3 linked regions of the Arabidopsis thaliana genome follow. The protein of the gene in region 2 interacts with the protein of the main gene of each other region in a pairwise test. Each region holds a gene or a part of one and is shown on either strand. Other genes may lie near its edges.

Region 1 (5,955 bases), on a different chromosome or scaffold from region 2:
TTCGTAGCTTATCGACCTTCCACTCAAGAAGTCGAACTCTCTGCTCTGTGATCAGATAAAAAGCCATTAGCTTAAAACATAACTTCATGTCTTCTTCTTTGCTTCTCTGTTTTCTTCTTATCATCTCCATCATGATGTCTATATTAAACCAAAATTAGTCACAATCATCATAAAATCAAGTATATCACCATAAGCTCCACTATACATTTGGCTGGTACGTTATTTTTGATGTATATTGATTTTCATGGAGGCATATAGCTAACGTGTAACAAATTTGAAATTTTAATGTAGAGTAAATTCAGATTTTAAAAGTTTCAAAACTTTTCAACTTTGACCTTTTCATGGGTCCTTCTTTTCCCTCGCCGTAAATACCAAGTCTCACACCCAAACACTCCTCTCTCTTGTCATTTAAAAGACTAGAGTCATTCTTTTCTACAAACTGAAATGAGCAAATATAAAAACACTCTAACACAATGTTTTCTTCCTCTGTATCCATCTCTATCTTGGTCGTGGTGGCCATGCAATTCTCTTTTATCCACAATGTTTTGTCCCTAAATCAGACCAATTCGTATCTGCAACACATATGCATCAACAGTGAAGGAAAATACAAGGCAAAGAATTCATACGAGAGCAGACTCAAAGATCATCTCGACAGTATGTCTAACATTCTAGACTACGGTTTCATCCACGGTGTTGGTGGTGCGGATTCTAGTACCTACTACATCAAGGCCCAATGTCGGGGAGATGCCTCCGAATCCAAGTGCCGCTCTTGCCTCTTTACCGCCTTCTCTGGGGTAACGTCATTACAATATTATCGGTTAGCTGTCCCATATACTTACATATATATATATATAAATGCATGCATACATTAGTTTTAGTTATATCTTAGCATTTCTTAGGAAATATGTCCCAACATATTTATATATATTGTAAATATGTGACAGATTCTTAGGAGATGTCCGAACAACAGAGGGAGAATAATATGGTACGACAACTGTTTTCTCTACATTTCCGAGATATATACCTACGAGAAGATTGATTTCAAGCACTATTTGTATTTGCACAATGCCAAAGATGTGAGCGGCAATAAAAAGTTGTTCAACAAGAACACAAAGGCTCTCCTAGATAAGCTCAAGGAGAAAGCAATTCGTAAAGAACAAGAGCCTTACACAAGAGACTACATGTATGCAGCGGGGGAGGAAAGTCTCGGGACGACGAAATTGTATGGGATGATGCAGTGTACACAAGACTTATCAGTTAAAAATTGCAGTGTGTGTTTGGATTCGATTATTGCAAAGCTTCCCAGATGCTGCAACGGTAAACAAGGAGGAAGAGTTTTGAATCCGAGTTGTACTTTTAGGTACGAGCTCTATCCTTTTGTAAAACCGTAAAAGATAATGAGAGCTCCAAACATTTTAGTTTTTGTTATTTTCGAATAAAGTGTTCTGAGCAAAATGATAATTCAAAGTAACAACATCAAATACCAGGCATTGTTGTCGTCATTCTTTTTCTTATTACGAGTCTTAAGAACAAAAAAATCATGGAACTAAAAGCATTCAACCTCCAGAAAACTTGACATAGGTTAAGAAACAACATGAGAAAAAACTTGTCTGCTTGGAGGATATAAGAGATACGACTAGAGAGTGTCAAAAGTAGAAAAGTTATAACAAAAAGAACAAAATCCCATGGAGTAATAGTAAAAAAGGTCTTCTCTAGGCCACTGGAGGAATCATCTCAGGGTAATCTACGGTTGTGAGTGGAGCTTCTTGCACAAGAGTAACTGGAGCAGCAGCCTGAGCAGGTGCAGAGTAGACAACATCATCTTTAGGAGCATGAATGATCACAACATCAGGCAATGGTGTCTTTGGTCCTGATTTGCCCGTAGGGTCCCAGTCAAGCATGATCTTCACCTTGATTCCCAACACCCCCTGCAAATACGGATTGAACCAACAAGATTAGACAAAGCCGGTATACTTACTCACTAAATGGTAGATAAGAGACTCATTAGAAAGCATACCTGTCTGAGCAAAACATGTCTCACTGCAGCATCGATGTATTCCTTAGTTGGTTGACCAGATGAAACCATGTAACCATCCTTGAACTTCATGGACTTAGCACGTGCAGCACGGAGCTTTCCACTCACGATGACCTCACATCCCTTAGCTCCACTCTCCATAACAAATCTCAAAACACCATAACAGGCCCTGTATATCAAATATACCATTGCAATATTAAGGATGAGAAGTTCAAGTGAAAAAAGAGATGCAATAGCCTTGTCGACACATTATGTATCATCAGTGTGTTCAGTAGATAGAAACATAACTATTACACAAAATCTATAAAGAGTGCGCATTTACAGAAACCCCACTGAGAAATATAATTACAGTTGTATCCTATACATTTCACTATTAGGACCAAGTAAGCTAAACAATAACAACAGCAATTGAGAGAGAATACACAAAAACATACTAGAGAAATGTCGTACCTGCGAACAGCAAGACCACCGAGAAGCTTGTAACGTAGAGACTCAGCCTGAGCAATGGCACAGAGACCTCTGTTGTTAACCTTCTCAGCATAGAGCTCAACACTGTCAACTGGAAACTTGAATCTCTTCTGGACAAGAGATGTCAATTCCCTAATTCTCCTCCCCTTCTCACCTAAAACCCAACATTTTCGATATCAGATCTCGAAACACATTCAAAATCGAAAGAGAGAAGAAATGATCAAACAAACATACCAAGAACATTCTGAGTACGAGTAGCTCTGATGATAATCTCAGTCCTCATTGGAGTAACCCTAACCTCAACACCAGAGTAACCATCCTCTGCTAGCTCTCTTGTGAGAACCTCATTCAATTCAGCGTAGAATACACCATCCGCTACAAACTACAAACACAGTAACCAGATCAGTTCCAATACGATACAGCTAGAGAAGTCCACTGAAAACAAAAAATGAAATCACAATTCACCTTTCTCTTCTTGCTGATTTGAGTCGCCATACTTGTGGATGTGAAAATCAGCCGATCTCTGAAACCCTAAATGTTGAGACGAAGAGAATCGGTAAGCTCGTGTTCGTTATCAGATATGATTTTAGTATTTATATTGACCTAATTCAGAAACTTAGGTCTCACATCCAATTGAGTTTGGGCCTATTTGTTGAATATGTCAGCCCAATGGACATTTTATGGGCTTTAATATATTTTAAAATTTAAGTACTAATATTATTTTTTAAAAATTAATAATTTCATTCCCGACAAGAACATCTGATTTTGAAGCTCTGTCATTTTCCGACGACGGCAATGGCGTCAGCTTCCAAGAACATTCAGCAAAACCCTTTCTCCTCGAAACCACCACGGCCTCCGTATTCCTCCGGCGCTGCATCAACAACCGCAGTGGCTTCCACCTCAGCCGAGCCCCTAATTCGAAACTCTACCTTAAATCCTAACCCTAGCACCAGCGGCTTACCGTCGACATCGAATTCACCGATTACGATGTCACAAGAAGATGAAATCCTCGCACGCTCCAGTCACATAACCCGGTCGGAGCTTCTCAAACGCCGATCACACAACCTGAAGCAGCTGGCCAAGTGTTATAGAGACAATTATTGGGCTTTAATGGAGGATGTCAAGGCACAACACAGGGATTATTGGTGGAAGTATGGGATTAGTCAGTTTAAAGACGAAAATAATCAATCGAATAAGAGACGGAGGCTTGGTCAAGAGGGAGATATCGGAGATGGTGGTGATGCTGTTGAAGGTAGTGGAGACAATGTTACTAACAATGATGGTGTTAAGAGTGATCAGTATGCGAATAGTAATTGTGGGAGTTGTATGTATGGATGCAAAGCTAAAGCTATGGCGCTTACGAAATACTGTCAATTGCATATTCTCAAGGATAGTAAGCAGAAGCTCTACACTGGTTGCACAAACGTCATTAAACGGTTTGTTTCACTTTCCCTTTATTTGGTTTTAAAATTCTCGTATAAACCAAAGTAATTGATGCTTCAAGTTGTGTTCTTTGCATATTATAGTTGGTGAAGATGTTGTAGTGATGATGAATTGAAACTGCAAAGCTGTTTTGTGTTATGTAGTGAGCCAAGAGATTGTTTCTCTTTTTTTTTCAAGTTTGCAGAAAGGATTTGGGATTGACACTTGACTTTTTTTCAAAGTTTTTCATAGGGTTTGGGAGAAGTCTTAGCTTTGGACATCGAGATAGTGATCGTCGGTAATCATTTATAGATTCAGTAGTTGCCTTGTGTTAAAATATTGCTCTATGTGCTTTGTTGTTCTGGTTGATACACATAACTGACGCAGATGCTTGAAGTTGTCTGTTTTGATGTGTATTTGTAAAATAGTCAGGATATGAGTATTAGCATAACTATATCACCCTTTGAAAATGTATTTGTGTTAGAATAGTCCCATTGTGGTAGTATTAAAACATAAACCAAGTTTCAGATTTGAGTTTTTACAACCTAGATTTCATATATAGGTAAGTTTGTATGCTGGTTTGTAATTAGCATATAATGATAATTTAAGCAATTCTCACCTAACTCTGCATTGTTTCCATTGTACATTCAGAGCCCCAGCAGGACCATTACTTTGTGGAAAACCAACACTTGCGTCGACTGTTCCTGCACTGTGTAATATACACTTCCAGAAAGCCCAAAAGCATGTGGCTAAAGCTTTAAAGGATGCTGGTCATAATGTCTCTTCAACAAGCAAGCCTCCCCCAAAGCTCCATGTTATAGTAGCTGCGTTTGTGCATCATATTCAAGCGAAACGAAAAAATCCACAGAAGGAGTGTAAACTTAAAAGTGTAGTAAAAGAAGAAAATACAAGCTGAGTTGAGCTGTTAGCGTTGCCAGAAGTTATTTTTGTGTATGTCCCAGAAGGGAAAAGGTGAGGATCTCTGCCTTACTATATCATTCTAAGAAGTGACATAAAACGTATTATGTTGCGCTCTTAATCGTCTACAGATTTTGTTACAGTGTAGGTATCGGATGTTTATCTGCCCTGAGCTATTAAGAGAGGTTTTGTTACAGTGTCCGGTAGGGTATAGTAGTTTAGATAGTGGTAGTTTATTAGGCTTAATAAGAAGATAACAGATCCATAAGCACAAAAACTAGTGTGTTGGAAGTTGGAACTCATTCTAACATTTGGAGATGTCCATTTCAGTTTAGTTGCAATTTTGTTCATTTCTAAAATTTACTTGTGAAAAGCGTATGCAAAATCGAAATGGTCTAATGGCTAATGGGAGACTCAGGCAACGATGCTTTGCAATTGACAAATTGTATTTTCGAAATTATGGGTGGCCAAAACTTGGCATACTTCGATTTTTGGCTATCCGGTTTAGAATTTTTCCGAACGTTTTAATTTAGGAAACTAATTTCAAGAGGAACCGGAATAGTCACAACCAAAAGTAGCGACCGGATACTAAAAAAGTAAAAAGGAACCAAATTTGGCCGGTTTAGATGTAATCAGGTTAGCTGCTGCTACTCCCTACTTCTCATCTTCAAGAACTGCAGCCTTCCAGCCTTACACTCATCCTACTACTCAAAGTGGTATTGGCAGACTTCAATCCTCTGTTGCTGCGCCCACACCAGGAGTCAGACGGGTTTATGAAACAGGAGAATCATCAAGACGTGTTGAGGATAGGGATTCCAACAATAACCTGCACCTTGGCGACTCATCCAAACGCAAAAACATGATAATCCTACAACGTGAAAAGGATTCAGAACAGAACAAGCAACAAGAAACATATCTAAACATGGGAGGTATTCTGAAACCTCCTAAAAAAACGTTAACATCACTCGTTTGATTCTGTCAATTTTTTATTTACAACTGACATGGTTTCATGTTACAGTTGAAGTTAACAGTTTGAATAAGAGTTCAGATATGGTCTCAGTATCACTTTTTGGAACATGACATATCTCAATTTTTTATTTTTTTTTCACAAG
Region 2 (5,511 bases):
CACTATGAAAAAAACTATTCCAAGAAAGTGAAAGGCATGTGCGAAAACAACGTGAACGTGAAGGCCAAAAAGAAAATGCAAGTTAAGGTGCATGGATTTGGTAAAGAGAGAGAGATTCATTCCCCCTTCGGACTAAACCAAAATTAGTAATTTACAACTTTTACTTTACCTATATTTGCTAGTATTAATTAATTTAACCGAAGCAATGGTGCAATGCATAGATGTTAAAAACAAAAGAAGGAATGGGGCACCGAAAGATTACCACTTTTATATGATTCCATGGTTCGTACAACTACTAGTCTGTCCAACAAACCAACAGTTCAACAAACTAGAGAATGATAAAATTAAATCTGTTTGGTTTTAACTAACAAAGTTCGTACATGGATGGATCAAGATTTGCAGTTTAGTGGTTTGTAGTATTAGTATTGTAGATGCCATTTCAAATTCGCATAATGCATATTGTTTGGCAAAATAATTTGTATGCAAACCAAAGGAAAATGATATACCGACTTTTACCATGTAGGTTTAAGGAGAATCTATGTATGATAATTTTACATTCATTTACATCACAATGTCTTTCTTAATAACTCAGGAAGTACCAATTTTCTTACATTACCGAGAATGCAAAAGGTAATTATCCATCTGAACCATTGAAAACAAACAGATTGGGAGTAACATTCCCAAGAACCACAATTATAACAAGAAAACTTACAAGCTTGTCTAGCTATTGCATATGCACCAAAGTTTTTCTATCGATTTCTAGAAGATAAGGATGGTCTAAGATGGTTTCTTTGATTACTTAGGATCTCATTTGTGTACGTTCGCAATCTTTGCCATTGGGTTGGCTCACCAAAAGCTTGAACCAGTGAAGACAATGTCTTGTTGAGATAATTTGGGTTTTGAGCTAGTTCACTTTGATAGTGATTCTATACATCACAGTGTCCTTGCTCAAGTTAGTGTATACAACGTCTTGTTTGGATAATTTGGGTTTTGAGCTTGTTCACTTAGATAGTGATTCTATCTATCTAATTTAATGCATGACTTAGCCAGTTCTCCACGGCTGGCTACCACCGTCATCCATCATTTATCTCAAACTAGTTAATTCAAAACAGAAATCAAATTCAAATGAAACCAAAACCCAAACTGGTCCAGCCCAAAACTAATTGAACAAGTTTGGGGTTATGGATATTGCAACCAAAGATTTTGAATTCATATGATTCCAGTTCTAACAACTAGACTAGGTATCAAATCAACAATCCCACAATACAAAAACTCATCTTTAATTCAGAGAGACAGAGAGAAAACATTTAGGATGCTGAGGATGAAGTTGTCTGAAAAGTCATGTCATACTGGTATTTTCAAGTTCCATTTGGGCAACAGTTGTGTTAATAGCATCTATAATCTCCATCTTCTCCGCACCAATAGCTTCATCCATTGGAGTTCTCTCGTACCTACAAAATTTCAAGCTTAAACTGGTTCAGCTTAGTTTCTTGGATAGATTTAGAGGAAAGATTCAAGAGACAAACCGATTCAAAAGACTTAGACTTGCTCCAGCCAAGATCAATCTCTTTACCACCTGTGAGTAGCTTTCCACTTAGTAAAACCGGCGAAACAAAACATGTTTAATCGCGGACATGAGTAACGGTTACCTCGACATGGCCATTCAAGCATGCCCAATGTAGAGGAGCATTGTTCTCATCGTTAAGAGCGTTGATATCCTGCTCAGGAAAACAAAGCCTCAATAATCTCTCTTTTATTCATGTTCAATCGTTTCCATCGATAGAACACCGAGAATTTAGCAAGGGGTTGTTGTTATCTTACCACTCCTTCACTGATAAGATACTCCACTATAGTCATATGTCCATTCGCTGCGGCCATATGCAGGGCTTTGATGACAAACAAAAGATAAAAGAAACAATGTTCCAAGAGTTAACAATACATTTCAAACTCCTTAATCTGAGTAACCGAACATACAAGGATAAGAGTAAGAACACCAACATATTCCTAACCCCAAAAACAGTAACAAATGATGAAATAAGCCAAGGGTACAATTTTTACGCATCAGTTACTCCAAAATTTCATAAATCTAGACGAGTAATTCACTCACTACACACTACAAGTATCTCAGCAAGAGTTTTAAGAATCTCAATTGACAGTGGCATTAAAGAAAAAGTGAAGCTATTAACTGGAAAAATTGAAACTTGAGAACAAACACAGAATGTAGAAGAAACCTGTTCGGCCTTGTGAATCACGAGAGTGAAGAGAGAGACCATCAGAGGCCAAGGTTCTGAGATCATCAATATCATTGTATCTAGCAGCCTGTCAATTCAAAGAAGTAAACTTTAGCTCACCCAATTAAAAGTGGTGGGCATGAATCGATTGGAAGAGAACAACATGGATTTAGTGATGAAGAGAAGGAGACAGACCTCCAGCAAGTCGTCGACTTTCTCTGCAACTCCGTTTGTCTCTGCTCCCATCCTCCACCGGCCAATACCAATTTCAGTCTGAGGGTTTCTGGTTTCACTTGGTTTTTGTCCGATTCCTTTTTTTTTTTGTGTTTGGTTTTGCTATAAATACAGTATTTATGTAATTAAAGTAAAATTATGGAGTACCAACTAAAAATGATAAAGTGATGTCATTTTTATGAAAACCAATTTTCATGAATTTTGAATGCATATAAAAATATGAAAAAAGGTCAAATATAATTCATATTTTAGTTATTGTACTCTTTATCTACTTCATATCTAAATAAAATAAATAAATAAAACATTAAAGTATACATTTTTTGAGCACCGCATAAATATTAATTTTATTTTGGGTCGCCGCTTGATTTTCTGGTGGGGAAGTCGTAATCGTTAAATTAGGGTCTTCCCTTCTTCTTCTTCTACATCTCCTCAGCCGTTTCCTACGGAGGATTCCGATCGATCCCTTTTCTCTTTTTTTTTTTTTCTTCTGGTCACCGAATCATTGTCATACCCCACTTTGAGCTCACAACTCTTCTTCCTCAGATTGCTTGATTAGGGTTTTCTTCTGCTTGCCGAATTGATTTCCAAGGAACAACTTTTTATTTATTTTCATCACCTAATCTTTCGTTTTCAGATTCCGAGTATCCAAATAATATTTTTATATTTTCTCTTTCGCCGCCATGAGTTCCTCGATCCAGATCGTTGTTGAGGAGAAGCAAGTGGATGTTTTGCCTCTTCAAGATCAGGTTTTGTTTTTGTATTGTCCCTTATGAATCATTGAAATTAATCTGCGATATCTAAAATGGAAGATGAAGTTTCTGTTTTGATTTGTGGTTGATTCCCTCCATCTTTAGCTCTTGAATTCTGAATTGATCTATGAAATGTTCTGAGAAATTAGGGAATTTGTGAATGTTGCTTCTGATATCTCGTTGTGTGTGTAATGTTGTACTTGGGATGGCTTCAATTCGGGATCTTTGCTTGGATTTACGTCTTTTGTAGTTTGGTTGTTACCTGTGGAGTGTCTGATGTTGAAACTCTGTCTTATGTACACGAATTTGTTTCTGTCTTTAGGATGAAAAGAAGACTCCACAAGTGTTCAATGAGCTGAGTTTCGGGAACCATGGGGGCTGTTGTGCAATTTGCTTGGATACTATACCTCTTCAAGAAACAGCTATGGTTAAAGGCTGTGAGCATGCTTACTGGTACGTGTGGTCGATTTTTGTTTTTTTCAGAGTATTTTGTTTTGTTGCTAGTGGAGTGTATATCCTTTTTTATATGAGGAATGATACTGGTTTGGTTATAAGTGATCTGTTTATCAATATTTAGTCTGATACTGTGGAAGTTACCATTTGTGGTTTAAGGCATTTGTTTTGTTAGATCAGTTTTAGCTCTCATCTCAGGTTTCTGAACGATCGACTTTGGCCTTGCTTTAAACCTGTTATAACGTTTTTCTGTTTCTTTCGTTTGAACAGAATAAGTATGTTTGATTAGAAATGAAATAGGATATATACTGACTTTTGTCTTTTCATTTTTAAGAGGAATGATTCATTTCTATCTATATATAGTGTGACGTGCATACTCCGTTGGGCAAGTTACAAGGAGAAACCTACCTGCCCACAATGTAAGCTTCCATTTGATTTTCTCAATGTCCACCGCGCTCTCGATGGAAGGTAAAATTTCCATCCTTGTTTACATTTGGCTCCATTTTAAACTCCATTTACTTGACTGGCGGTGTGCCTTTATTGCTTTAGTTTACTCTTGGCTTTTACATCATTTTCTGTACTTCTTCCTTTGTAACTAATTTTGTCTGTTATATATCATTGCAGCGTTGAAGATTTCATGTTCGAGGAGAGTGTATGCCTCCTCCTGAGGGCATCATGGTTCCAGCCACTGGAAGCAGTGGAGCGGGTTTCAGACAATGACAATTTCAACTATGATTTCGACATTCCACCTGAGTATGAGGAGGAGGATGAGGACGACGATGACCTTGACGAGTTTTATATGCAAGGTTCAAGTCTTCGATTAGGAAACCGGAGGTGGGGTGACAATGGATTTGTGAGGGCAGGCCGCCAAGAAGCAAGGCCAGTCCAACATAAGAACCGAGGTGGCCAGGCTTCTGGCTCTGAACCCGCCTCTTCATCCTCATGTGAGCCAAAGGAGAAGACTAGCAGTGCCATAACAGGAAGGCGTGCAAAGAGGGCAATGAAGCGTGAAGCTGCAAACAAAGCTGCGGAAGCAGTAGCAGCTGCAAAGCATGAGGCCCTTTTGGTTAGGTTGGGAAGGAAGTGACTGTGGTTGTATCTCTGTAATTACATCAACCCACCCCAACCCCAAATGACCAAATCCTTTGACTTCGATACTTGAGAATCTGTACATCAGTAGAATTTAATAATGGTAGAACTTGTTGAACCTTTGTCGTTAAGATGCTTTGTGCTAGATTTGATTTATTTATCTGCAACTTTCTTGATCACTTGCTTGATGAGTGAGAGATACTCTCGCTTATGATGTGGGAATTGATCATATGGAATGAAGATTAAGTGGTTATGGTAATGATGATGATGAGTGGGTTTTAGTGGGGTCTGCAATTGACTGTGGCCAAATTTTGGGTGGTGTAAACTGCAACGCCAAGCAAAATCAAAGCTATTAAAACATACCTTTTTAATTTATTCATCAGAAAACTAGACATCTCAATCCCTTACCTACCCCATTAAGACCATGGAATCATTAGTCTAAGTCAAATATGTTGACCAATATAAACGTTCATCTTCGTTAGTGTCTGAATTGGGTTGATGTTGTTTGATGAAAATGCTCCATTGGAATTGTGTGGTTAGATATTTTCATCATCTCAGTCTTTATAATCATCATCTTTGTCATCATAATGTTCTTTTTATCTTCATGATATTTATCTATTTTTGTTCCATTGATTCTTATTCTCAACCACTCTATTCCTCTTCCATTCAATGCTCCTGAATTGCCTCAAAGCAAAAGCTACTCTTGCTTCATTAACACTTCTCTTTCTCTCATGACTTCCCTTTGAGGTTATGTT
Region 3 (5,682 bases), on a different chromosome or scaffold from region 2:
ATTGAAGAAAGGAACGGATCTTGAAAACTGTTAGAACTTATTAAAAAATCAGCATTTGTTCAAAGAAGTCGTGCTTACGAGATACAAATCAACATAATCAAGCTGCAGATCCTGAAGAGTTCTGTTCAATGCGTCCTGTACATCCGGAGGGTCAAGATCAGTCAACCTGTGCTTGCATAATTTGTAGATTTTAATAGGTTAAGAGGCTTAAGCAAACGAGGGAAACTGAAAATGCATAAAAATGATAGAGATGCAGAAACTTCATGAACAAAATACCAGATTTTTGATGTGATGAACAGCTTCTCACGCTTCACTACGCCATCATCAAACAACTTCTTCAGAACTTTCCCAATCTGCAGGTTAAAAAAAGCTTTCAATTTCTCCATCAAGAAAAACAAAAAGCCACATTTCAAATGAACTTGTAAACAGTCTATAACAAATAACTCCATTAATCCTACATAACTTAAAGCTAGTTTAAGAAAAAGATACACAAGACAATGTGTGCAATTGTCATTCCTAAATATAAATTGGTTAACCTTAGTAAGAATTACATAAAACAGCCAATCGAGTAAGAACGATCATACTATATACTGTTCTATATAAAGGCAAATCAAGTAACGAGCCGTCAAAAGATGAACTATATGAAGCAAACTATGGAAGATACAGATTCGGATCGGTGAATTTTACCTCAATTTCATTGCCATATCTTGAAGCACAATCAATATGCTGATATCCAATCTGCAGAAAACGAAATGATTATTAAGTTCTTCTGCTACTGAAACGAATTTCCAAATCAATCCGTAAATCCCAAGATCAACCAATATTGAGGGAAAAACCAAACTATGTAAGGATCAGAACATCTAATCAAAGATCTCTAAGGATCAGTCAAATGAGAAACCATGAGACGGAAAATCACAGAAGAACCTTCACAGCGGCGGCGACGGCGTCTCCAACGACGCCAGGAGCAGCTTGCCATGTCCCGAGACCAACCGATGGGATCTTTGCTCCGGTGTTGAGTTGGAAGAATCCGATTTCGTCCGCCATTGTCAGAGCTTTAGAAGTGAGACTTAGATCTCGAGAACCTTTTACGAAAGACGGAGGAGGTTTGTGTCGACGGAGCGGGAAAATCGTCGGAGTTTTATAACAACAGACGGTTAGTATTCAAACACGTGGATATAACTAAACGCAAATACTTGTGTTTTCATATTTCATGTGATGAGAGTAATTAGTAATTAGTAATTACGATTAGTTAATTCGATGGATGTACCAAAATTTGGACAAACTGGTCTTGTAATATTACGAATTAATTCAGAATAATTTGCCAAAGAGAGAATGATTTATGAAACTAAAAAGGGCTTTTTCAACAATGGAAACTTGAGATAATTTTCGAATAAGAACAGAGGAAACGTGTCTGATTCGAAGATACGAGAAGCTATAATCTGTCAAAAGAGCAAGAACAGTTGAAAACAAAATCACATCGACTAGTACAAAGGATTCTTTTAGGCGACTGGGATCATCGCAGGGTAATCTACGGCTGTGAGTGGTGCATCTGCTACGAGAGCAGCCGGGGCAGCAACCTGAGCAGGTGCATAGATGGCCTCTTCTTCTTTAGGAGAATGAATGATCACAACATCAGGCAATGGTGTCTTTGGTCCTGATATGCCCTTAGGGTCCCAATCAAGCATAACCTTCACCTTGATTCCCAACACACCCTACATATTCGGTTTAACAACACTTTAATTAGACGTTGTTGATTTTTTACTTAACTCTAATAAGAACAACTCAGACGAAACTCACTTGTCTAAGCAAAACATGTCTCACTGCAGAGTCTATGTATTCCTTAGTTGGTTGACCAGATGACACCATGTAGCCATCTTTGAACTTCATAGACTTGGCTCTGGCAGCACGAAGCTTTCCACTCACGATAACCTCGCATCCCTTAGCTCCACTCTCCATAACAAACCTCAACACACCATAGCAAGCCCTATACAACATATAACCATTGCATGAGAACTTAAAGTCATTACACTTAGAAGCTAGACAATACCTATTTGAAACCATACAGAGTCTATAAGAACAATTACTCTATACTAAACATACAACTATAACGATCGGTGAATGCTTATATACACTAGTAACCTATCCAAATCAGTCTCTAATGATAAACTAAACTGATCAAACAAAGTAACATAGCAAACGAACTAGAGAAATGTCGTACCTACGAACAGCGAGACCACCAAGAAGCTTGTAACGTAAAGACTCAGCCTGAGCGATGGCACAGAGACCTCTGTTGTTAACCTTCTCGGCATAAAGCTCAACACTGTCAACTGGAAACTTGAATCTCTTCTGAACAAGGGAAGTCAATTCCCTAATTCTCCTCCCCTTCTCACCTGAAATACAATCAAATTTTACAGTCACTACCGTATAATAGAAGAAATGATTAAGCTCGAAGATCAAAAACATACCGAGAACATTCTGAGTACGTGTAGCTCTGATGATAATCTCAGTCCTCATAGGAGTAACCCTAACCTCAACACCAGAGTAACCATCCTCTGCTAGCTCTCTTGTAAGAACCTCATTCAATTCAGCGTAGAACACACCGTCCGCTACAAACTACAAAATCAAAATCTCAACACAGTTACCAAAACAGTTCCAATACGATAAATCCATTGAAAGAACAAAATGAACAGAATCACACAATTCACCTTTCTCTTCTTGCTGATCTGAGTCGTCATGTTTGCAAATGTGAGAATCTGCCTATATCTGAAACCCTAAAAATGAGCGGCGTAATCTCGAAAGAGATGCTATTAGTACTTATACTTGACCTAATTCAGAAAATCAGGTTTCACATCCAATTTCCTTTGGGCCTATTTGTTGAATAATTTGGCCCATACATTGATAAAATAGTTAAATAATTGGTTTGGGCCCATGGATGTTTTCAATCAAGTAATTAAGAGAAAAAAAAATCTCGCATTTTGAATCTTCTCTGTCATCATTTTCCGGCGACGACAATGGCGTCAGCTGCCAAGAACACTGAGCAAAACCCTTTCTCCTTGAAACCCCCAAGACCTCCGTCTTCCTCCAACGCTGCATCTTCCACCGCTGTGGCTTCCACTTCAGTTGAACCCCAAATTCGGAACCCTAAACCTAGCACAAACGTCTTACCATCGACCTCGAATTCACCGATTACGATGTTACAAGAAGATGAAATCCTCGCAAGCTCTAGTCACCTCACACGCCCAGAGCTTCTCCGACGCCGAGCAGACAACCTAAAGCAGCTGGCCAAGTGTTATAAAAACCATTATTGGGCTTTAATGGAGGATCTCAAGGCGCAACACAGGGATTATTGGTGTAAGTATGGGGTTAGTCAGTTTAAAGACGAACAAAATCAATCGAATAAGAGACGGAGGCTTGATCCAGAAGGTAGTGGAGATAAGGGTAATGATGGTGATCAGTATGCAAACAGCAATTCCGGGTTCTGTATGTATGGATGCAAAGCTAAAGCTATGGCGCTTACCAAATACTGTCAATTGCATATTCTCAAGGATAGTAAGCAGAAGCTCTACACTGGTTGCACAAACGTCATCAACAGGTTTGCTTCAAGTTGTGTTCTTTTATATTGTATAGTCGGTTTAAGATGTTGTAGTGATGATGAATTGAAACTGCAAAGCAATGTTTGTGCCAAGAAATAGTTTCTTTCTTCTTTGAGCCTGCGGAAAGGTTTTAGGATTGAGACTTTGCTCTGTTTCAAAGATTTCCGTAGGGATTGGGAGAAAATTTTAGCTTTGGTAACCGTATATAGATTCGGTACTTTGACTTGTTTCATAACCTTGATTGATGTGCTGCGTTGATATACATAAGTGACAAAGATGTCTCTATTAAGGTATCTTTGCAAACGAGGTAGGGTTATGAGTATTATTAGCATTATTATGTCATCTTTGAAAATGTGTTCCAACTGAACATTGAGATGAGCTCTTTGAAAATGTAAGTGACTTGGAATACAACATTAACCTGGTTTCAGATTGATACACTGTTATTATCAGATTCGGTTTGTTACAATCCAGATTTCATAGATATGTACTTTTTCATGCTGGTTTGTAATTAGCACATGATGATTATTTGAGCGGTTCTCTACTAACTCTGCATTTGTTTGCTTTGTACATTCAGATCTCCAGCAGGACCATTACTTTGTGGAAAACCAACACTAGCATCGACTGTTCCTGTACTGTGTAACGTGCACTACCAGAAAGCACAGAAGAATGTTGCCAAAGCTTTAAAAGATGCTGGTCACAATGTCTCTTCAACAAGCAAGCCTCCCCCAAAGCTCCATGTTATAGTAGCTGCATTTGTGCATCACATTCAAGCACAAAGAAAAAATCCACATAAGGAGGGTAAACTTAAAAGTGTAGTAAAGGAAGAAATGACAAGCTGAGTCAAGCCGCGTTCCCAGAAATAATATATTGGCTTACTATATCTTCTAGAGATCCATCTCTTTCAGTTCTTGTGAGTAGATTTGACTAGCGATGGATTTGTTACAGTGTTGGTATCGGATCTTTTATCAGCACTGAGCTATTAAGAACAGGTTTTGGTACAATGTAGGGTAGCTTAAGATAGGTCTAATTACAGTGGAGTTATTGAGATGATGATTCCACTGTTTGTAAAGACTTGATAAGATGATGATATTTGATCCATAAGCACAAACACTTAACTTGTGTTGGAACTCAATTTAACTCTGTTTTGTTGCAATTTTGATCAATTTTACGAGTTACTACGAAAACTTATGTAATGGTCTAATAGCCACATAGAGACAGGCAAAAAGGCATTGCATTTGCATACACATTTTTAGAACTCAAAAATACAACAAATAATACTTCAGATTCTTAACGACCAAATACAATCGCTAAAAAAAAAAAAAGACAAAAAAAAAAAAAAAAAGTTAGTTTGTGCTGCCACGTAGGATGCTTATCTCACTTATCTCAGTCCACTAAAAAGCAAAGCAAGAAAAAGAGAATGTCAAAGGAGAAACAAGGAAGAAGCTTAGCTTATAATCGAATCTAAGCCGTTTCGGGAAATTCTGTTTGTAGGTGACAAAATCCTCTTATAGGGTTATTCTTAGCTATGAATTTCCTCTGCAATTTCTTTTTTTCCCCGCCAAAATTTCTCCTGAAGCAAATGTAGCTTTTTACTTGCTGAACTAGGGTTTTGTTCGATTTTGTTCCTCTTTCCTCGCTGATTTTGTCGGAATTTCTGGGTTTGGGAAGAGAAATTGGAGTCGTTATTGATTGAAATGAAGAAGCTTTTAGGAGGTCCGGGAACTGTGTGTGGTCTGTTACTGAGAATCGGACAATGTGCTTCAGCTGCTGCTTCAATCGGCGTTATGGTCTCTGCTAAAGAGTTCTCTGTTCACACTGCTTTTTGGTACGGTTTCGCTTTCTTCAAGTTTTGATTTGTTTCCTTTAACCTTGTTTTGTTCGTTTAGTTGTCGGATTTAGTAGAAATGGTAGTGGAATTTCTGCAAGCAATTTTGGTGTTTATTAGTAGTAGTACAAGTCTCGTTGATGTTGATTATGATTTTGGGGTTGGTTTCAGCTACTTGATTGCGTCAATGGGTCTTCAATTGTTGTGGAGCTTTGGGCTAGCATGTCTTGATGTTTATGCTCTCAGGGGAAAGAAAGATCTCCA

The links.
Region 1: the proteins of AT5G12320 (region 2) and AT2G31610 interact in a two-hybrid assay, tested with the Arabidopsis thaliana proteins (one large-scale study listed by BioGRID).
Region 3: the proteins of AT5G12320 (region 2) and AT3G53870 interact in a two-hybrid assay, tested with the Arabidopsis thaliana proteins (one large-scale study listed by BioGRID).

What each region holds. Positions count from the first base shown.
Region 1 is NC_003071.7:13,447,427-13,453,381, reverse strand, and holds AT2G31610 (Ribosomal protein S3 family protein), read right to left. Parts: upstream 3,142-5,955; 5' UTR 2,999-3,141; coding exon 2,969-2,998; intron 2,886-2,968; coding exon 2,738-2,885; intron 2,658-2,737; coding exon 2,486-2,657; intron 2,205-2,485; coding exon 2,018-2,204; intron 1,929-2,017; coding exon 1,713-1,928; 3' UTR 1,400-1,712; downstream 1-1,399. Other genes in the region: AT2G31620 (Receptor-like protein kinase-related family protein), read left to right, coding at 474-794, 945-1,391; AT2G31600 (INO80 complex subunit D-like protein), read left to right, coding at 3,299-3,939, 4,577-4,841; AT2G31590 (uncharacterized protein), read left to right, coding at 5,249-5,345, 5,470-5,797.
Region 2 is NC_003076.8:3,979,728-3,985,238, reverse strand, and holds AT5G12320 (ankyrin repeat family protein), read right to left. Parts: upstream 2,663-5,511; 5' UTR 2,478-2,662; coding exon 2,427-2,477; intron 2,320-2,426; coding exon 2,232-2,319; intron 1,887-2,231; coding exon 1,822-1,886; intron 1,719-1,821; coding exon 1,650-1,718; intron 1,577-1,649; coding exon 1,527-1,576; intron 1,452-1,526; coding exon 1,340-1,451; 3' UTR 1,127-1,339; downstream 1-1,126. Other genes in the region: AT5G12310 (RING/U-box superfamily protein), read left to right, coding at 3,146-3,211, 3,537-3,667, 4,031-4,135, 4,292-4,754.
Region 3 is NC_003074.8:19,948,600-19,954,281, reverse strand, and holds AT3G53870 (Ribosomal protein S3 family protein), read right to left. Parts: upstream 2,859-5,682; 5' UTR 2,736-2,858; coding exon 2,706-2,735; intron 2,614-2,705; coding exon 2,466-2,613; intron 2,391-2,465; coding exon 2,219-2,390; intron 1,985-2,218; coding exon 1,798-1,984; intron 1,713-1,797; coding exon 1,500-1,712; 3' UTR 1,264-1,499; downstream 1-1,263. Other genes in the region: AKR4C11 (NAD(P)-linked oxidoreductase superfamily protein), read right to left, coding at 79-166, 277-353, 688-738, 925-1,044; AT3G53860 (INO80 complex subunit D-like protein), read left to right, coding at 3,012-3,592, 4,168-4,432; AT3G53850 (Uncharacterized protein family (UPF0497)), read left to right, coding at 5,288-5,418, 5,590-5,682.